3 linked regions of the Rhinolophus ferrumequinum genome follow. The protein of the gene in region 2 interacts with the protein of the main gene of each other region in a pairwise test. Links are inferred from orthologs where the notes say so. Each region holds a gene or a part of one and is shown on either strand. Other genes may lie near its edges.

Region 1 (6,928 bases), on a different chromosome or scaffold from region 2:
TTCTTTATCCATAGTAGTTTCCTAGCTTTGTAATTTACTTTGTCTGAGAATAATACAGCCACTCCAGCTTTTTGTTTGCATGGTATATACTTTTCCACACTCATGCTTTTAACACATCTATACCATTATATGTAAAGTGAATTTCTTATTGGTGGCATATAGTTGGGCCTTTTTTAAAAGTCCAATTTAGAAATTTCTGTCTTTTAATTGGTATATTTAGACTACTTATACTTAATGTAATTATTAATATGTTTGAATTTAGGTCAATCATTTATTTGTTTTCTGTTTGTCCCCTCCATTTTTTTGTTTCTCTATTTGCCCTTTCTTGCTTTCTTTTAGGTTATTTGGACATTTTTAGTATACCACTTTAATTTATCTGTTGGCTTTTTTATTTTATTTCTTTGAATAGCTTTTCTATACAAATTTTTTTTTTTACTTATATACTAGAACATACTACTTTTAGTTCTATACAAAACATTTTCTAGCTATTCCATACAAAGAAATAGTCTACAAAGAAGTTTTTTAAGTTGCTCTAGGAATTACAATTTACATATCTAACTTTTCACAGATAACTTATAGTTGATACACCACCACTTCAAGTAGAATGTAGAAATTTTTTCATCATATAGGTTCCTTCACTCTACCCCAGTTGGGATCATTGGAGCTTATGGAGCAGTTATCACTCATAATATAAATGTACTTAGCATGAAACCTCTTGAAGCAAAATATGAATGTGTAATATTTCTAGTTAAGCATGGAGGCTTGAGCATATGCATTTATTTTCATCCATCCCTGAACCCAAATGAAATGACTGTAAAGGAATGAAAAAGTAAAAACCTGTAAGAATGAAGATAATAGAAGAGGAAACAACAGCAGACAAAGATGTCAAAGAATCTGGACTTAGAAAAGGGAGTGGGCTGATGAGACACCAAACCCAAAACAGGAATTAAATGAAAATTTGATTTTGAACAATGAGACCTCCAGCCTCCTTTCCTCTCTTAGGTCTCGGAATATTGGCAGCCAGGATTGTACCCAACTTAGACAGGAGATGGGATGATTCACTTCTGGGGAAACTGACCAGCTCAAGAGAAAAGACCTAATAAAATTGACAATGAAGGCCTTCCAATGAAAGATCCTGGTCCCCACTCTACCACCCGACAGGAAGTTCTTCAATCATGAGCTCTACCCACACTTACACTTCCAATTGACTTTGTAGTGTCCCATCCTTAAATATGAACAGAAAGTCAAGAATAATCTAACATGAAGTCTCTAACTTAAAAGTAGATACCGAAACAAACAGGAAAAAAAGAGAGAGAGAGAAAACAAACAATTAAAGCAGCAAAAGAGAGAAGGGAAAAAAACAAACTCCATAATTAATAGTCCCAGAGAGACAAAATGCAATTGTACCCTTGAAATTCTATTGATAAATGAATAGTCAGGAAACAAGAAAAATCTCTGGGGAATTAAAAATATCATGTGAGAGGGGAAATCAATAGGTGGGTTGGAAGATAAAGCTGAGGAAATTTCTTGGAGCTAGAACAAAAAGATAGATATGAGAAATGGAAGAGAAAAGCAAGGTAGAATCAAATCAGGAATTCCCAAAATGGACCCAAAAGAATTCTGGAGAGAACCAAGAAAATGGAAGGGAGAAAAAAAAAAAATCAAAGAAATAACACAAGAAAGTCCCAACACCTGAAGCACGTGAATTTCTAGATTGAAAATGTTTTGCTGGGTGCCGAACGCAATCATGTATCTCAGGTATGTCCAGGTATTTTTACAGTGTGTTTTACTCAGAGATTCCCACCACTAAGTGAAAGAGAAAATGTAGTTTATCTCTCCCCATTTTAATAAAATTTCCCCCCTTTAAGAAATGTCCCATTACAAACAAGAGTGACCCACTGGAAATCTTTTGAATTTTAACATCATGCTGTGAAGAACATTCAACACTCATTCTAAACACCTCTGCTCACCTCTTTTATTCTAGCAGCAGGGAGTTTATGTCCTTCCCTTCATAAAACAAAGGGCACTAATTCTGTAGTTTAAAAAACTATACTGACTCGGATCCTTGGAGAACTGCCATCATGCATTCACTGAGCACTTTACGTGCCTGAAAATCATTCCATCAGAAATGAGAAAGTAAATGCCTCCACGGATACACACCCGCAGAGTTTATCTCAATTGATCTCACAGATCTTACTTATCTGTGTAAGTAAGTCGGTATTGTCATTGTCTACGAGGTAATTTATCTCAATTAAACTGATCTGTAGAGAATAAATTGATGAGTGAACACTGGGTTTCATTGCTGTGCTTATTTACAACTGACCCTTTCAAATGAGATCACCAATTATCGAGAAACTGTTACTGTCGTTACCTTGAATTGGTTAAGGGTTTTTTTGTGTTTTTTTTCCTTTTTTGTCTCTAGCAGTGGGACCCAAGTTCGTACTGTAGATATAAACCTCTAAAGCTTACTTCTAGCCTCTCTGCTAATCCCTGTACCATCTGATCACTCAGTGCTGTTGTTTTCTGCTGGTTCAAGAGCAACAACGAAGTAGGTTACTTACCATGACAGCTAAGGGGAGAACATTTTTAGGATTCTAGGATTCATCTTTTGTGGAGGGGAGAAGAAGAGAGACAAAACTTAAATCATCATAGACATCCTCTCACAAAGTGTAATTTTATGTGAATATTTCCTGCCTTGAAAACAAAACAAGTTTAACGTGGCTGCCTCCAGGGAATCTAGGTCTTTAGATTTTTTTCTTCTAATAGAATTTGACCTTGAAAAGGCGTGCCTAACCTCTGCTGTTTTTCTTCAAAGCTGCTGCGTGAAGGTATCACAAGCATAAAGTCCTCAGACATGGTAAATGTTTTTGTTAAAAATACTATGTAGTCATTCTCAGGGCTTCTGTTTCGTGAGAGAGACGCGTTAGTGGTCTGCACACAGAACTGAAAATGAGATTCATAGGGCATCTTCGTCTGGCCCTGAATTTCAGCTCTCTGTGTGGTCCTTCTTCAGTCAGCTGAATCACTCCTTGTTCAACTTGGCTTTCTTTATACTAAAGAAAACAATGACTAAATTACAATGATTCTGGGACACTCTTACTTCCCAAGGGCACCATAATAACGTGAACACCCATGTGGATAAAACGAGCTAATCGCTTTAGTAGACTCCCCAAAATGTACGGCAATTTCGAGGCATTAGATATAAAAGGATGACGTGGTAATAAAACTTTGGCTTCTGATTTATTTTTTAATTAACAACAGAGTTGCTCCGACAATAATTTTTCAGCGTATTTTTAAATTGTTTTGCAAAGGATTCTTCTAGCCTCTGCATGGAATCTGAAAGTATATACTCTCGAACAATGAGATGAAGGAAACAAAGTCTTAATGTTCTCTTAGATACTCACAGTAGCACCTGCAAATTACCTTATCGGACTTGCCTTTCCTGCTTCTAACAAAAAACTGGACGGCCCCATGTGTGTTTGACACACACAGACTCTATTTGAAATTACAAAGGAAAACAAATTCCTTTTTATTGGTCATATCTTTGTTTTGCTCATAAAAGAGTTACTCCAGGTCATAGTCAAGCTCATGAAATTCATATAAGTAGAAGGTTTCTCAAAACCCAATTCCCAAGTGTTTGTTTGGGGAAGGAAATTGGACCTGTCGGAATGGAACGAATGTGGACAGTGCTGCAGCTCTGAACCAGCCCCGGGATTGACATTTCTAATCTGCTTTTCTCGTTAACACCCAGATGGAGAGGGAGACAGGGGAGGCAGGACGGGCTGTCTGTGACCAGATTCATTAAAGAATCGGGGCCTGGATGATTTGACGAGGGAATTTGCACTTGTGGGGGCTGCACTGGGCCATCCTCTCTGCCCGGGTGTCCAGGTTTCCCAGCAGGACACTGCCTTCTAGCATCTGCAGCAAGGCCACTTCTATTAGGATCACTTTCTACTATTCGCTTTCTTCAGCCATCAGTATTTATATGTAGAAAGTGGAGTGCCTGGGGCCCCTCGCCCACGTTGGAGGTCACTGCAAGGTCACAAAGGCCACAGGTAGGGAAAGACGTGTCCTTCAGCTGTCTGCTTCTTCCAGTCCGATTTCGGGTCTGGGGCCGGGAATGTCACAGTGCTCTCAGGACAGCTGAGAACCCAGTGGGTGGGTTGGGGGGGTAGGCAGAGGCTTACAAGTGGCTGGAGGGGGGCACCTACATGGTCTCCAGCCCCGCCTCCGACACTCTCTCCCCCATCTCATCTCCCCAAGGGGCCAGAAAGTTCAAACGTTTCCTCTCTTCCCTTTCTCATGTTTCTTCAATAGAAATTCCGTGCCTCGCAGGGACTCGCCTTCATTTCACAAATCTTCACTGAGCCCCTTCCACATGCCGGGCTCCATACAGCTGCCTGAGAGATCCTGGCAAACAAAAGTACACCTTGTAGGTTTTCTCCCCTTCACACAGGCACAACAAATAAGTACATCATTCACATGTCACAGGTGTTAAAGGCAATGAAGGAAGAAAGGAAAACCAGAGCAGGGTGTGGGTTGGGGAGTGGAGGTGGAAGATGAGGGGTGAGCCTCTTTGTGGAAAAGATGCCTGAGCAGGTGGGGAGGCAGGGACGGAGGGAGCCACGTGGATATCTGGGGAAAGAGCATCCAGATAAAGGGGAACAACCTGTGCAAAGGGCTTTAGGGTGCCTGGTGGATTTCAGGAGCAGAGTGGAAGAATAGAAAGTAACGGGAGGTTTGCAGCTGCGAGTCCTGAAGGGCCGCTGTCAGACTTGGGCTTTTTCTCAGAGCGACAATGGGAACCATCGAAGGTTCTAAGCAGGAGATTGACATGGTTCGACTTTAATTTTAAGAGGACTTTCTGGCTGCTGAGTTGAGAAGTGATGATAGTGAATAAAGGGCTGGAAGTGGGAGACCAGGGGGAACCTCCTGGAGGCATCCCGGCAGAAATGGTGGGCGCAGTGGGGGTGGGAAGAAGTGGTCAGATTCCAGATGCTATTCGAAGGTGGAGCCAGGCAGACTTGTCACTGGTAGGACGTGGCGTGTGAAAGAAAGAGACAAGGATGCCTGCAGTTTCCGCTTGAGTCACAAGAAGGGTGCTGTTGCTATTAGCTGGGGTGGGAAGGCTGGGGGAGACGCGGGATTTGGGGAGGGGTGAAAAATTTGGGGAGAGGTTCAACTGTGGATATCTTGAGCTGCCACTTGAATGTCAGGAGACTCATTAACTTTATTTTTGCCTCCCCTGCTATAACAATTCGAATTCTTCTCAAGACCGTATTGACTGCAGCGGAGACACACTGGCTAGAAAACTCAGAGGACAATATTTGAAGACCTTTGCTTGTGTTGCCTGTGACCCGGGTCATGCCCTGGAAACTAAAGGAGATCCTGTCCTCAAAGCCTTTTAATTGCTGGACTAAAGACTGAATGCCGGCCTTGTTCAAAACCAAAGCCACTGCTGGTCCAGCTAGGAATTGGTGAACCAAGCAGAAAATTCCAGGGCACAGGCCATTGCAGGCCCCAGTTTGGAAGATTCTGTTCCCACAACCTGACAGCATGAGCCAGCCCGTGGCTGCCATGTTCCTGGTTCCAGCCCTGCTCCAGCTGAGCTTGAAGAGTTGGGCTCTGTGGAGGGGACGAAGGGGAGAATGGGAAAGACCCCCCAGTGCAGGCCAGGAGGAGACCTGGGGCTGGCACTGGCTTGGCCCCGGCACCTCCAATGGATCTGGTCCTGCCAAACTCCAAGCCCCTTCCCCAGGAAGCATCCTGGTCTCAGAGACAACGGTCCATGGCTTACAGGTAAGGAGCAGACCTTGCCAAGGAGGGTCACAGTTCACAGTGCCTTTAGATAAAGGAAAGAAACTTCTCCAGGATGAAGTATGGAGTTTTTTCTTCAAGTCTTGTAAACATGTCTGAAAGTTGCCAGATTTAGGCATTTCTAGTATCTTCTATACTCTCAGAAGCTCCTGGCAAATGACCAGATCTAACTGAGTGCTAGGTTTTTCCTGTGATGAATATCTGTGCAGCCACAGCTGAGATGAATACTTCCTGGCCAGGGGACTTTGAAGAAGTTACTCAGTTGCTCTGTACCTCAGTTTCCTCATCTGTAAACTGGGGATAATAATGCATGTAAAGTGCATAACCCTGGGCCTGGTTGACAGTGAGCGCTCAATAAATGGTTGTTTATGTTCACATTCCGACTATACTGTGGTGGGATCTCTTTCAAGTAGTTCAGAATGAATCCAAAACCCTTTTATCTGAACCCTCCCAATGTGCCTGTGAGGTAATCTGTTTTTGAAAACCTTTCTTTCACCAGCTCTATAATGTTTCTTTAGAGGAATTTGAATACAGTTGTGTGGCCTCCTGTTAGGATCCTGACTCTGCCCCAAACTGGCTCTGTGACCTTGGGCAAGTCACAAAACATCTGCTATACCTCAGTTTTTGGACCCATTAAAATGGGGATAACAGACTATGTCTCATTGGATTGTCATGAGGTTGAGAAGAGATAGTAAATGCCAAGCGCTTTGAATCAATACCCGAGTTATTTGTGTTGTTGAAACTGTTTTATTGAATTGGATTATAAAATATAATTATTGAATTATTATTGATTTTTTTTTATTGCTATTGTTGTTGTTGTACTTATTGTTGATAAAATGGCAGAGCCTGAGATTAGTTTTTGAGTGATTCCCACTTTGCTGCTCTGGATTGCATTAATTATTTACAAGTTCATTATCTATCTCTGCTTGATTGATTGATTTCTTCACTCAACAAATATGTATTGAATGTTTGCTCTGTACCAGGCCCTTTTCCAGGATGTGAATAGGCCAACACGATTCTCTGTCTTGGAGCTTGCACACCTGGCAGGGGAGGCAGACAGAAAACAAGATAATTTCAGACTGTGATAAGAGTCATGATAACAATAAAATAC
Region 2 (7,261 bases):
TATTTATGTAGTGTCGCAGGCAGCAGACTGTTCCTGTTCTCTCCCCAGCTTCCTCCTGGGCCCATCTATAAATTCACTAAGCAAGACTCACTCAAAGTGGGGTCCCCGGACAAATGCAGAATCCTGAACCCAATGCCAGACCTTTGAATTGAAATCCCCGGGGAAGTCTGACCCAAGAAATTGCCTTTAACAAGTTGCCCAAGTGCATCTGATGCCGCTGAGTTTGAGAACTTCTGTGGGAGCCTAGGAACATGGAAGAAGACCTTTTCTTTTTTTTCTCCCCAGCATGGGGCAGACCTCCCACCCTTTGTTGAATGTTGGAGAAATTACTAAATCCAAAGCAAGAGATAAAGGATTTCTCCTCATCTGAGGGCACTTTGGGATGGTTCTACTCAGGCTTGATATTCACTAGGTAACCACTGGTAAGGCTGTAAATGTGTTAAAATGTTAAAATTCTTCCAATGCGGTTAGCAAATACCCATTGCTCTTACCTCTGTTTTATCCATTGGCCCGGCTGCCCAGGCCTCTCCCTGGCACTGCCCCATGATCTAGCCACTAAAGGGTTAACCCCTGGTCTAGCATGCGGTGTCATCTATTCTCATTGGTCAGTGTAGGTGTCAGTCAGCCCCTCATAGGTCCAACCAGTGTCTTTGTATACGGGTGGGCTTGTGCCCTACTTGTGACCCTACCCTGTGGAAGGGTGTGGGGAGGATCCTGGGTGGGTGATACCCCAACAGTTTACCTTGATTCTAGTGTAAGTGTCCCTGTCTTTACAGGCCCCCTAGGCCTTAATGGGTAGAATCCTAGTGGGTGAAATGGCATTTCTGGAGGTGGTGCTGGTACCTCAGTAGTCAAATGCCTCAGGTTATGGCCACCACCAGCTGTGGTATCCCTAGAGGTTCTCTAGCATGGCTGCTTCTGAGGACTGCAGCTTCCATGGGACTTTGGCTCTGAGAGATCCTGGAAGAGCCTGGGTGAGAGCACGAGGCATGCAGGAGTTCAAGTCCACAAACCTCAGGGCTGTGTTGGCATGGCTTGACAGATGAAAACCTGCTTGGCACAGATGATGCACGCAGGGGTTAGTGTGGGGCCGGGAGAGTTTGGGGAAACAGTGTCTGTTTTCATTTATTTGGTCAAATTTGCTAAAAATCACTGAATGCCTTCCTATCGTGGCATTAGACACATTTCTCTCGTTAATAAAAATGCAGGCAGGTACTTACATATTTATCCTGTGCCAAGCACAGTTCTTTACTCATTTGAGTTACCATCATCCCCATTACATAGATGAGGAGACTGAGACCCATAGCCACAATTCGAATTCAGGCAGCCTGCCATTAGAGTCCACACTGGGAAACACTACCTTTCTTCTCAAGTTACATTATTAAAAAAAAGTGTGTGTGTGTGTGTGTGACTTAGTTGGTAACAGAGATCTGAAATATATAAAAAACTGTCTATAATACAATGGCTAGAAACATTCTGAGTGAAATTGCTGTCAGTTCAGTAGAAGCTGAGAAAGGAGTCAGCAACCTTAAACAATACTACTGATGTTAAGAGAAATTATCTACCTATGGGGACTCCAAGTAACCTAATGATTATCGAGTAATTGGGGACGTCATTGGAAAAGTTCCATGTGTATTACTATGTCAATCATGGCTCAGAAAGGGGCATTGTTTACTTAGTGACGGCATGCCAAACAAAAGGTCCGCAATTTTTAAAGCTCAACAAATGATCTGGATAGCATTAGAAACTGATAAACTACTTGCATTAAAACTCATATGTAGGGGCCGGCCCGGTGGCTCAGGCGGTTAGAGCTCCATGCTCCTAACTCCGAAGGCTGCCGGTTCGGCTGTGCCCCCTGCAACTAGAAACGGCAACTGGACCTGGAGCTGAGCTGCGCCCTCCACAACTAAGACTGAAAGGACAACAACTTGAAGCTGAACGGCACCCTCCACAACTAAGATTGAAAGGACAACAACTTGACTTTGGAAAAAAGTCCTGGAAGTACACATTGTTCCCCAATAAAGTCCTGTTCCCCTTCCCCAATAAAATCTTTAAAAAAGAAAACCTCATATGTATATGCTTCTGTTTAGAGAATACTGGAGATTCAATGTTTTAAATTTACATGTCGATTAACTACTTACAGGCTTTTAAATATTTTGGTTATCACCTCGGCATTGCTTATTCAATTCTCTATTCTATTCTTTTGGTCCCACCTGTCAGCTGGAAAAGAAGATAAGCTCTCAGACTGAGCTCTGATGTGTTGAGCTGTATCCCCTTTCTGCTTCATTTGTTCCTCCTCTGGCTCATACTTTTTCTTTGAGGGAGAAAGAGGTAGATACCTCCTTCAGGTGGAAAAGGCTTTTCTGGCAATCGAATGGGGATGTGGGCAAGGAGGCTATCCTGAGTAGGGCTATTGCTTCCTTCCATAAACCCAGGTAATTGAGCTGTCATATTTAAAGTTTTATTGGTTAAGATTCAAGTTAGGACTGGAGCCCTTCTTTTGCAGGTTCCTTCAGGGCTACATGTGGAAAAGAACAAACAGAAAACTCAGTGATGCGTCCTGAATAGGGCTGTAAGAAATGACAAGTCGTCAGTCCCTATGGTCTCAAGGAACACTGAAGGGGAGGGAGTTGTTTGAACACTTCAGAACAGAAAGGAAATGCAAAGCTCTTCCATTCAGTATGTCAAACCAGCTCAGAAGTATGTGACAATCCAGGCAGAGCATTACAGTTTCAAGCCAGTCCAGTCATGATTCTCTGGCAAACCGCACAGTCATGGTTATGAGGCATTGGGATGAGGGGTGCTATATAAATGTCATCTGCTACATAAATGTCAGGAATAATTATTGTTTGTTAATGGGGGCTAAACTGTTTCTAAGCAAACCTCTTACTCTCAGCCAACACATCCTTAGCAGAGGTTGTGACCACCAGTAACCCAGGAGAAGCGAATGCTCACTCCTGGTTCTAGAAAGAAGCCTAGTTGGGATCTGGGCTTTAAAAACAGGGGTTGGGGTGATGCCACTGCCACCAATTGCTCAAGTGACTTCAGGCCAGCCCCCTCACATTCTGGAGTCTGTCTTCCTTCACCTGTAAAATGGGGATAATTATAACACCTGCCCTACTTCTTGTGTTGGGTGGTGAGAATCAAGAGAGTTCACGTGGGTGTGAGTGCTTTGTAAAGTGTGAGCTGCTGCAAGGATGACAGCGGTCGCATAAAATCGGCTGGAATCTCGCCTATGCCTTCCCTTTGAGTCCGCCTCATAGGGAGAACATCTGAATGGAAATTAAGCTGAAGATGGTGATGGTGACTGGCCAACGCCGAAAATGCCAGGCTCCTTCTCTCAGGAAGTTGTCAGGAAGATACTGCAGACCAGGCGCCGGGATCCTGAATTCTGGCTCTGGCTCTGCTACTTGCCAGCCTGTGAGCTTGGGCAAGTTACAGACAAGGCTCTGGAGGGAATCGCCAAGGGCCCTTCCGGCTCTGACGCTGAGTCTAAATCAGGCTCATCACTTGGCTCCAGCAGTGATTCACCTTTCGCCTCCAGGAGCAACTCTCCCTCCAGCTTCTCAGAAGCACGAAGCAGGGGTCTTGGAAAGGGTGGGGTTTGTGTATTTCATGTGAGGGTGCACAATAAAGTTATTCCCTGCAGGTGAGGTGGGGTGGGGGCGGTTAAAAGGAGTGCTGTGTGCGCGCTCTGAGAAACCAGGATGCAGTGCAGGGAACACTGTAATGAGGTCACGACTGTTGTCGCAGGCAAAAAGGAGCTGGACATCTGCTGTTGGGGGAGGAGGGTAGCGTCCTTCATTTCTGTTGGTAGAAAGTCTCTTCCCGCACCCTTCAGGACCCCCTTCCCACCTCTCCCCTAACACCCCTCCCCACACCTTTCAAATGCTACCAGGCCCTCCTCGCAGGAGAACCCGTGTCTGTGCCTCCTCCGTGGTCCTGTCTGAAACCCTGAGGATTGTTTCCAAGCTGACTCACACCACTAATGTCAGGGAGCCGTGTCACACGGCGCTGGGCTCTGCAAGCTGTTGCTTGCGCGGTCGTCGCCGCCGCCGCTCCGGGGTGGGTGCACCAGGTTCCGCTGGTGGGGCGGGGCTGGGGCGGGGCCCGCCCCCTTGGCGCGCCGGCCCCGCCCCTCCCTCTCTCCCCCGCGGACCGCAATGATTTAGAAGTTCAGGAATCCCACGTGACGTCACCGGGGGGGTGATGTAATGCACTCTAAATAGAATGTATTGTAATCTTTGCTCAGTCCAACGTGGTCCCTTCACCCGGGCTCCGCTCTTGCCTTCTCCACACTTGTTTGGTAAGTTCCTAAAAATACGGCTCGGCCACTTCTGGGGCTTTTGCATTTAGCCACTTTTGTTGCACTTGCCGAGGGAGCCATCTCGGGAGCGTACTTGTTTGCAGGGGTTGGTTCTCGGCAGCAGCCGCGAGGTTACTCGGTCCAGTGGGCAGGTCACAGGGCAAGGAGTAGGGAAGATGCGATGCATTTTTTTTTGGAGGGTGATCTGTGTTTGTAAACACTTTGGCGGACCAGAAGGAAGTCCGGCCCCAAATAATGGTGAACTGTGGAATTCTGCTGTGTCCTGAGGCCACCCCAGAGACCCCACGCCGTGTCTTTCCCGGAGCGCGTCTCGGTGGCCGCTGCGCCGTGCGACTGAAGGGATGCTAACGTGGAGTGAGCGCTGTGTCCACCCGGCGTGCGTGCGTGTGTGGGAGCGCGCGTGTGTTTCCCTGACGCGGGGAACAGTTATGAATCGGGGGTGTGTGTTTGCCTCCAGAGACCTGGCAAGGTGCGGAACCCTCCAGAAGTGCGGTCAAGCGGTGGCACCGGCGGTGGCAGCGGAGACGGCGAGCCAGGAACCTCCCCCCGCGTCCCCAACTTCCCGGTGATGCGGCGGAACCCCCGAAGAAAGTTTGCAAACTTCCAGCAGGCGCGGCGAGGACGCGTGGTCACCTAGCGGGTGGGCAGGAGGGCGTGCGGGGGGGCTCGCTCCCTCCCGGGTGCCGAGTCTGCTGCTGCCACCTCTCCCGCAGGGCTGCCCGCCGCAGCTGGTGGGCGCGCGCACCCGGGGAGGGGACATCGCCCTTGGAGGCACTTGGCTTTCGCTCCAGGCACGGAAGGCTTGAGAGTGGTGAGGCTCTGCTCGCGTTCACTCTTCAGCCGCCTCCTGCCTCCGTCCGGTGCTCGCTGGCATCGTTACCTCTTCCCCGCCGCTGCCCCAAGTGACAGCTCGGGCTTCTGCCGCGGCGGCGCGGTGGCAGTTCCCAGGACTCGGCGAAGGAACCCTCCTCTACGACAGTTTCTCCACGGAACCGCTTAAACTTTTCACGAAGTTCTTAGAGGGGCAAGACACGCGAAGGAACGAAGGAGATGTTTTCTCCTGGCAGCTGCACCCAGCTTCTTCTTTGCCATAGATTTATTTCCGGGCGGGGGCGAGGGTGTGTGTTATCTGGTAGATAAAGCCCCAGACGTTGTCCACCCTCCTTCCTAACTTTCCCTGAACGGGTGCCGCCCCCACTTGATGTTTGTTCAAGGCCAGGAACCGGAGTGGGCTGCTTGTATATTTTGTTGTCAGTGTCCGCAGAGTGTGTTTGATTTTTATTTTTCCCTCCCTCTCTGACATGTGTCAAGGAATAAAGGCTGGATACAGGTCCATTACGTCATTCTGCAGGCCAGTAAGTGATTAACAGCTTCAGATACTCAAGGGTTCGGGGGCTTAGAAATGCTGACAAAGCAACTCTGCTTCCCACCCCCAGCCCCAACATACTTGTACAAGCGCCAGTTCCGTGGGCATCTGTATTGCTCCCTCCTCCGGGACCCCTCCTTCGTCACCCCCTCTCCCTCCCACACCGTTATCACTCTGGCCCCGCCTCCGCCTTTTACTGTTTTCCCCGGGGCTATCACTGTCCCTGGAGTGTGGGTAAGAGCTTCTGGTGTCTGAGGGGAGCACGGTACCTGATCAGCACACGCACAATCTGCCCTTTTCTATTATTTACGAAAGGCACCAGCGACCCCTCTTCTCCAGGGCGAAAACACTCAGCTCTGATAGAAAGACATCTCAGGAAATGCTTAGAGACGTTATGATGATACTGTGTCCCTGTGGTGATTTAGGAAAACAACACACCCACTGCAAACATAGCACTTAATTTTACGTAGCGCCTTTCTCCAACCGCTTAGCAGACCAGGGAAGAAGTGAGGATGCTGACTAAATCAAATTTAGCTGAAAGGATCAAGATTAAACGTTTCATTTCCAAAGTGAGGGAATGTGAGTCGTTAAACCCAAAATACCATACAATGAATTGCTGCGTGTGTTACTTTCTTTCCTTCAACCTTAAGTTTCTATATTTAAAGAGGACGTTAAATACACACGTTATATGAATTGAATCAGAACTTCATATTTGGCAGTGGAAATAAAAACACCAGTGTGTGACCATGTTTAAGGGATAAAAGTAAAAACTCTTGGAGCGGGAGGAGTGTGCACAGCAGAAATAAAAAAAAATTACTAGTGGGGTTTTGGATGGAGTGGGCAGAGGACTTGGGTGCTCTCTGATTTGGAGTGGCTGAAAACTAAATAAAGGAAAATTTATATTCTGAGGATGTGGGGATTTCTTGAAGAACACATGTTTTGTTATAGTCAGACCTACTTTCTTCAAAGTGAAAGCCATGCTGCAGAGTAAGCATTTGTGAAACTCCTGTCTGGGATCTAATTGACAATCCTTCCCCAAGTTCGAGGCAGTATTTATTATTTATTCACATCTAGAGATGAAATAGTACTGCCCCCCCACCCGCACAAACATGTGCATCTAAAATGTTAAACTTCTTGTTTATGATGCATAGACCTAAAGGAAAAAATGGCCCGGGTCACGGACACTGGAGAGTGTGATTAATGATCAGTGATTTAGTGATCAGTGATTAGTGGTTTTATTCAAACTGTTACCTCTGACCAGAAGCACACATCAGAGGATTAACAGGCTCTTTAGATAAATGCTCATTAGTGGAAGGGGAAAAGCAAAGATAATAGGCATGTACCCAGGGACAACTTTCGAAGAAAATCATTCCCGTCTTCAGAATAATAAGCTCTATTAACAGAAAGCCCTTTTAATTTAAAACTTGCTTTTATCTTGTAAATCAAAGTTAGATGTAAAAGTTTGTAGTGCCATTATAACCTAAATTTTCCCATATCCACGAGATGTGGATTATCTCAGTAGCGATATTTTTTTTTTCATTTAAATAAACAATTGGACCTTTAGAGCA
Region 3 (7,368 bases), on a different chromosome or scaffold from region 2:
GAATTTAAAGGAGGTCATGTAAGGCTACAGAGGAGAGAGTCAGCATTGCTTATTCATCCAGCTGTTTCTCCCAGATGCTGATCTCTTTTGATCAGTGGTTCCCAACTTTTTTCTGCCCCCACACCTGAGGGATACAATGCATCCCCTCCAGATTAGTGGTTCAGTGCATCAGTGACGTTTAAAAAGAGGAGAGGTGTACTTTGAAAAAGCTGTGCAGGTTGTTTTGACGTTCACCCCCACTTCGGGTGAGGTATGAGACTCACTGATTGACTGGCTTTCCCCCAGCCTGAAATGCCACCCATAAGAAGATACATCTGGGTTTAATAGCATCTACACTGGTTATTCCCATTTGCTGAGTGTGTGCCTTCCCCAACACCACCAGATCCACTGTCCACACTCTTCCTCGCCCTTCTCTGTGCCCTGAGAGGCTGACCTCAGTGGACTGCCTTTGGCTAGAGATGGGGGAAGAGATGGGAGAGATGCGTCTGCTGTCCTTCCCACAGCCCCTTCAGCACTCTCTCTGGCAGTGGTTATTTCTTTCCCTCCTGCTGCGTGGCTCTCTTCCATGGCCCCAGTGTACACTCGGCTCTAATAACACTATTTCCTCCCCTTTTCAACCCCAGGGTGGTCAGTTTCCAGCTGCTACTGTGTGAAGTGTCTTTCCCGATGGACTCCTGACTGATCCAGAGGCCTTTGGACAAACAGAAACACTTCCATATTAAACAGTCATTGCTTATAAGATGCACACACTTTGAGAAATGTTAAAACATCATCAAAATGTATGGCTTACTATACAGAAATGATGGCAGATTTGCTTGGGTTTGATGGATAGAGGGCATTTATCATTAAGCAACAGTGTTTGCTTCTGACCTGACAAGGCTGAAGCTGGGAGCACAGGTAACAGGCAGAGAACTGGGTGTAAAGTCAGATGAGATAGGTCTGAGTACAGTTCTGACACCCACAGGCTGGGAAATCTTGAGTAGGCTGCTTTGCCACTCTGTTCCCTGGCCTCCTCTTTGGCAGTCCAGAGTCACCCCAACTGCCATCACATCCCTGCTGGGGATGTTGTGTGTGAGGACAAGTAAGGCCAGGTATGTGAGAAGGCTTCCTGAACTGTCCAGGCTTCAGATGTGTGGGCTAGTGCAGCCCAGAGAAGGCAGCCATTCCGGGACTCAAGTCAGGAGCCAAACACTGGGCTAGAGGGACAAAGGCGGAAACTGGCAAATGGAGGGCAGGGAAGTTACAGAGACCCAAAGACACAATGAGAGGACAGCGCAAGGACCCTTTACTCTGCCTGTACCCCAGCTTCCCTCCTTCCTGTCCCTCACTTGATGTGACCTTTCCTTAGGCTGAAGGATGCTGCGAGGCTGTTTATTTATTCAGCAGAGAATTAAGGAGCACCTCTAGGTATATGACAAAGCCATGTACCAGATGAAGTCCATGCTCTCTGAAGACCTGTAAGAGAAACCAAGACATTCCAGTAGGAGGCAGGTCATGCAGTATCCTGGGTAAGAGGAAGAGCAGGTGTCACAGAGGCCTAGCTGCACTTCCAACCGGGTCACTAGCCAACTAACCAATTCTCCTGGATAAGTGCCTTAATCTCACTTTCTTGATCTGCTACCAGGGAATAATACTCAAAGGTCTGTTGGGAGTTCTGCAAGAGACAATCCCTATAAAGTGTTCAGCCTGGTGTCGGACTCTTGGTAAGCGCTCAATAAACGTTGGCCTCTGTTCTTCTTAGCATGTTATTCCAGGGAGCCCGAGTACTCTAACTATGTGATCTTGGAATGATTTCCCACGGAGGGGTCAGTTAACTGGACTTGGAGTCTGAACTCACAGTTTGGCACACATAGCCTGGCCGAGGCACCAGCTGGACCAGCAGCGGTTCAGTCCCCACAGCACCGGAGCGCAGCTCTGTGTGTCTGGCTCTCCGAGGACTGAAAGGTGAGGGCAGGCTGCGGAAGACAGGCCTCCCCGCGGGCAGAGGGAACCAGCCAAATTCTGGAGCAGGGGAAGACCGGGATCAAAGCGCTCCGAGGTAGGCCCGGGCTCACCAAAGGGAGGCTAGCGACTTGCATCAGCACAGATTCCGTGATGCTCTGCAGACGTCTCGGGGCTGCTGGGCTTTACGGGAACCCACAAGAAAGGAAAGGGCCGGGGAACAGGCAGGGCGGGGGCGGGCGAGGGTGCGCTCTCCCGCCCGCGCGCTCCCAGCGGCGCCTGCCCGGGCTTGGGCGCGCCCGGGACGGCGGAGGGCGCGGAAGAAGCTCCCGCTCCCTTCCCCCTCCTCCTTTCCCCCGCGTTACTGGAAGGACTGTGTGGGAGAGACCCAGAAGCACCCGGATTTTCGAATGCAGGGTGGGGGAGGGCAGGGCAGCCGCTGCCGCTCAAAGGAAAACCAAAAGTGTGTCTTCGCGCCTCTTTGATACGCGGCAGCTCACGGAAAGGCCTTGGACGCCCCGGCTTCGCCTCCCTTTGCCCCCCACCCCCTAAAGACCTCTCTAGGCGGTCAGAGGTCCGTGTGGCGCGGGGAGGACGGAGAAGTGAATGAGAAAGTGTCACGATTTCTTCTGCGCTCCCTCCCACACCGTCCCCACCCCCAGTTTTCTGGGGTTTGCCGCTGCCGCTGGGAAAAGGACTGATTGGTTTTGCGTCAAAGGACTGCATTTACTCAGTCCTGCTGGGAGAGGCGCGTAAACACCCTTGCAGGCAGAACTCAGGGATGACAAAACACACACACACCCCTAAGCCCCCGCGGCTGGTGTGAACACCCGCCTGCCCCACACCCCTCGCCAGAGCCCGCGGAGTTGGGGACTGCCCCGCGGGCGGTGGCGGAGGTTCGAGGAGTCTGGCTAGCCTCGCCTCGCGCGTCCTTGGGGATGGAGCTCAGGACAGAATGTGTTTTATAACTGTAAACAATGACCCCGAGTATTGTTTGGGATTACCGTATCTTGGGGTCATTGGGGCGGCCAGATGCCGCCAGCCGTCCCGGAAACGCCAGCGCTTTATATAGAGTCCCGGGAAAGCATTGAGTTCCCGGCTCTATTTTTCTTTCCTAGCAACACCTCCACTTTACAGATAAGGAAACTGAGGACCGGAACTATGATGTGTTACAGCGTTTCAGTCTTGACGCGTCTTCCCTTTGGGTCCTCCAAGGACCCTGTGGGAGTACAGATGGCGCCACTTGAGATGGGTAAACCGAGACTAAGGCAGAGCCTGGACCAGAACCCAGGTTCCTTGACTCCTACCTAGTACAGTGCTCCTCCGGATCATCTCTGCAGAAGGGTGGAAGTTCCAGAGCTGACAAGGGCCTTACAAGGTCACCTGCCCAACCCCTTCATTTTATAGTAAGAAACTGAGACCCAGAGAGGTTAAGTGACTCGCCCAGTCTCACAGCTCGTAAATACAGCCTGGCGTTCGTACTCGAAGGCCTGTGGTCTTTATCCCGCACCTCGCCCCGCCCCAGGGCGGCGGGAAGACTTAGGAGTCCCGTCTACTTGCTCCTTGAACTTCACTCCAAAACAGCTGAAGACAACGTTGGGCCACACCCTCTCCCAGACCTCCCTCCTTCCCTGTTATTATTATTTTGCAATTCGCAACAGTCTGTTGTTTGCTTATAATACCCGATTGCTTCTAGTAGTGCGTCCTAATTGTCCCGCATAGAGGGCGGCCGGAATGTTGACTGGTTAAATTTTCGTTTTCCAGCTTTCCCCTAATAAATTAATCGTCGGGCCGGGGGAAAAAAAAAGATGGGGGTAAGCAGTGGGCAGCCAGCCACTGAGCGAAGAATAGGCAGGCCGGCCCCGCCCAGAGGCGCTGTGCCCCGCCAAAGCCAGGCCGCAGGGCGGCGCGGGTACCCTGCGTGCCCAGGGCGCCCGCTGCAACCCGCGGCGCCGCGGAGGGCGCCGACGACCACGGGTAGCCGCGCCCTCCCTGCGAGCCGCTCTGCGCGCCGGGCTCCCGGCCTGGCGGTGGCGCCGCACTGAACTGCCAGTCTCGCTCTTCAGGACTGTGATTATTTTCTGAAACCCGGCGCCGAGGCCCGCGCGGCCGCTCTCGGGGGCCCCGCCCCGCGCCCCTTTCCAGGGCTGTGTGTGTGTGTGTGGGGGGGTGGGGGTAGGGGGAGCCCGCGGCGCGCTCGGGAGCCTGCGAGGGAATCCCTCTCCCTCCACGTCACGCGAAAGCAAGGGAACCCGCACTCGCGTCCTCTAACGCAAATGACCATCTTTGGCAACGTGCGCCAATGGAACAGACCAAGGGCGCTGGGCCCAAGGGGTGAGCGGGGGCAGGACAGGGCTGCCGCGGCTCCCCCAAACCGCGCCTGCCGGCCGCTCCCACCCCAACCACAGCCTTCCTTCCTCGTGCGGGGTGTGCGGCTGGCGTCAGCGCGGCCAGGAGCCGGGGCAGGGAGGAGAGCGCCGCGCCCGCCTCCTCCCGCGCCGCCTCCTCCTCCTCCTCCTCCTCCTCCTCCTCGCCTCCCCGCGCGCTCCTCCCTGCAAGGTGGAGTCGGGTTGACGTGAGTGAATCCACATGGTACAGGGGCTGGAGAATAAAGAGTGTGGAGTTGAACTCGTGCCATTGTAGTGACTCATCTCGGGCAGAGCGCAGGGGCTCCGAGCGAACCAGCCAGCAAGCGAGCGGCGCTCGGCGGGGACAGAGAGGGAGAAAGAGAGGACCCGACGGGAGAGGCGGGCCCGTCCGAGAGCGGGCGCCGGGGAAGGGGTGCAGGTCCAGGCGCTGGAACCGCGACACGGGGAGCGGGGCCGCGTCCCTCTCAGCGCCGGTTCAGCTTGAACTCCACGGGCTGGGAGACGGACGCAGGCTGCCTTCTAGTCAAGTGTCCGAGTCGCTCCGAAACTCCGGAGGCGCGTCGGCCACAGGAAGTTTATTCTCAGTTCCTTTTCTAAAAGGAGGAAATAGAAGTTTCTCCAAGCGGGCAGCCTTTCTTTTCGCTTTTTTTTCTTTTCTTTTTTTGCTCCGCTTGAAATCGGAGACCCCAGACCTGGCAGGCGTGACTCTCCGGCCTCCCATTCTTTTTTAATTTCCAATTTTTGATTGGGCCGGCGGTCCTAGCCGAGCTCTGACTGCGCGCGGGGGCGGGAGAGCGCGCGCAGGGGAGGGACGGAGGGACGCGCCGACTTCTTAGTGGGAGGGACTGGGTGGACAACCGGTCCCGCGGCGCTCGTAGAGCAGGGAAGAAGTGCCGCGCGAGGCGCTCAGGGGGCACTGTTCCCGCGTATTGCCGCCTCCCGGTCCGCGCCGGCCGCCGTGGGAGAGAAGCCCGGGAGCAGAGACTGAAGCCCAGGCCCGGGCCGCAGGGAGCGAGCGCGCAGCAGCCGGTGCGCGGCCGCAGCGAGGGCGGGGGAAGAAAAACACCCTGTTTCCTCTCGGGCCCCCACCGCGGATCATGTACCAGGATTATCCCGGGAACTTTGACACCTCGTCCCGGGGCAGCAGCGGCTCTCCTGCGCACGCCGAGTCCTACTCCAGCGGCGGCGGCGGCCAGCAGGTAAGTGCGGGCCCCGGATGCACCTGGCGGCATGGACGGAACCCCCTCCCTCCTCTCGCCGCCACCGCCTCTTTGCTTTCTTTTCCCTTTCTTGGTTTGGTGAGAAATTTCCTACGGGCCACCATTGTAAGTTCTAGATTTTCTTATCCTGCCCACCCCTCCTCCCCCATCACCACCTTAAAACATACACACACACACTCACACACACACAAACGAGCGGGGAGTGGGCTTGAAAGACAACAAACCCTTTCCTTCACTACATCTTATCCAGACAAGCTCTTTGGACACCAAACCTGTTACCTTCTCTCCCAGGAATTACGCGCCCCTTTCCCTCTCTCGGTGCTGGACCAAAAAAAAAAAAAAAAATCTTTGTACCCACTGGCTTCTCCCAATATCCTGGGACTCTATTCCTGCGGGAAAGCCCTCTCCCTCTCTTTCCCCGTTCCCAGCAGCCAGTTAATTTCTGAGCGGTTAGGGACTCGAAAACACGGTTTGGCCTTTTCAAGTAATCCGGAGTGAAGGTGAGGGCTGCCCTGGGAATCAGGTGCGAAGGTCAAGAAGGAGGAGATCAGCCTTGATTGACTGGGTGGTGTCTGTGTGCCCTGGGCCCATCCATCTTCTGTTAGGGTGGGAGCAGGAGGCTGCAAGGCCACTAGAAGGGGTGCCTGGAGGGTCTGGGAGTACCAGGGCCAAGGAGACCTACTGGGAGAAGTGGAGGAAAGAGACCTCGCTTGGGCTCCTGGGTGGTTCTGGAAGCAGAAAAACAACTTGTTTCTAAAGCAGCCGGACTGGTTTGCACTGGAGGGATTGTGCATGCATCTGTGTGTCTATAAATACCAGAAAGGTCCTGGTGGAGTGGTGGTGCTGGTGGGGTGCCTGCCCTCCGCAGCAGCCCCCACCCCCACCCCCAGTCTTGTTAGGGAGCTGGCTTCATACACACAAAGCCACTAGCAGAAGCCCGCAGCGGTCAGGATCTGCGGGGTCTAGCTAACTTGGAGGCAGCAAAAGTTGCTCCGGTAAGGCGTTGGGTGGCCTTGGTCTCTAGAAACCAGCCAGCCTGCCAGAGGGGTTAGGGTGGGCTTCCAGGGAAGGATGGACCCTGCGGTAGAGTAAAATGGAAACAGTTCTCTTTGGGATCTGAATCACCTTGTGCCAGTGATTCCCCATACCTGGTGAGTCCCCCCAAATGACTCTGAATCTTCCCTCTATCTCCCCTGGTGTCCCCATAAGCACTCACGGGAGAGAGCCTAGTCTGAGCATGGAGGGTGCAGTCACTGCACTCTTAATAATGAGCACCAAGGTGATGAGTTTAAAATCTTCTCATAAAAACGTTCGATTTATTTGCCTTCCAGCCCCGTCGGTCGGGAGTTTGTGTTGAATCCATACATCCCTAGGCACGATGGGTTGGAGTCGTTTATACCCATTCTCTCCCTCTCTGATTCAACAAATCCTCCAACGTCCCTCTTCTCCCCAAATCAGGAAGGGATCTTTTGATTTCTTGTCTATTCTTTCGCTGCAGTTTCTGTGACCGTCACTGAAATATGACAGTCTTGCTGCCTGGCTTTGCTCAGACCCTGGGGCCTGGATGGGAAGTCAGACCGGACATCAGTGCCCCAATTGAATAATCTGTGTCACTAGGGCTTTGAGCCCAGGATGTGAGCGGAGGCAATTCCCTGTTTTGGAAGAAAATCAGACAGGAAACCATTGCTAGGAAGAAGGAAGAGAACTGAGTCCAGCGGAGTGTAATGGGGCCTCATCACCGAAGCCAAAAGCAGCTGTTGGCTAATTCCTAGCATGCTGTAACACATGAGGATTTTGCAATTAGCATTAACTAGTGCATGGGGTTCTCGAATATAAGC

The links. The genes of interacting proteins can lie anywhere in the genome.
Region 1: the proteins of CREB5 (region 2) and KIFC3 interact in binary tests that used the Homo sapiens proteins (3 or more experiments, as listed by UniProt). The two-hybrid records come from large-scale screens. The link is inferred for Rhinolophus ferrumequinum from reciprocal best matches to the Homo sapiens genes CREB5 and KIFC3.
Region 3: the proteins of CREB5 (region 2) and FOSL2 interact in binary tests that used the Homo sapiens proteins (3 or more experiments, as listed by UniProt). The two-hybrid records come from large-scale screens. The link is inferred for Rhinolophus ferrumequinum from reciprocal best matches to the Homo sapiens genes CREB5 and FOSL2.

Annotation. Positions count from the first base shown.
Region 1 is NC_046298.1:10,368,546-10,375,473, reverse strand, and holds the start of KIFC3 (kinesin-like protein KIFC3), read left to right. Parts: upstream 1-3,913; 5' UTR 3,914-4,055; intron 4,056-5,274; 5' UTR 5,275-5,556; coding exon 5,557-5,799; intron 5,800-6,928. UniProt on the Homo sapiens protein: Minus-end microtubule-dependent motor protein. Involved in apically targeted transport. Required for zonula adherens maintenance.
Region 2 is NC_046303.1:13,464,117-13,471,377, reverse strand, and holds the start of CREB5 (cyclic AMP-responsive element-binding protein 5), read left to right. Parts: upstream 1-4,248; 5' UTR 4,249-4,306; intron 4,307-7,261. UniProt on the Homo sapiens protein: Binds to the cAMP response element and activates transcription.
Region 3 is NC_046296.1:52,533,281-52,540,648, reverse strand, and holds the start of FOSL2 (fos-related antigen 2), read left to right. Parts: upstream 1-4,353; 5' UTR 4,354-5,407; coding exon 5,408-5,509; intron 5,510-7,041; exon of another isoform or gene 7,042-7,368.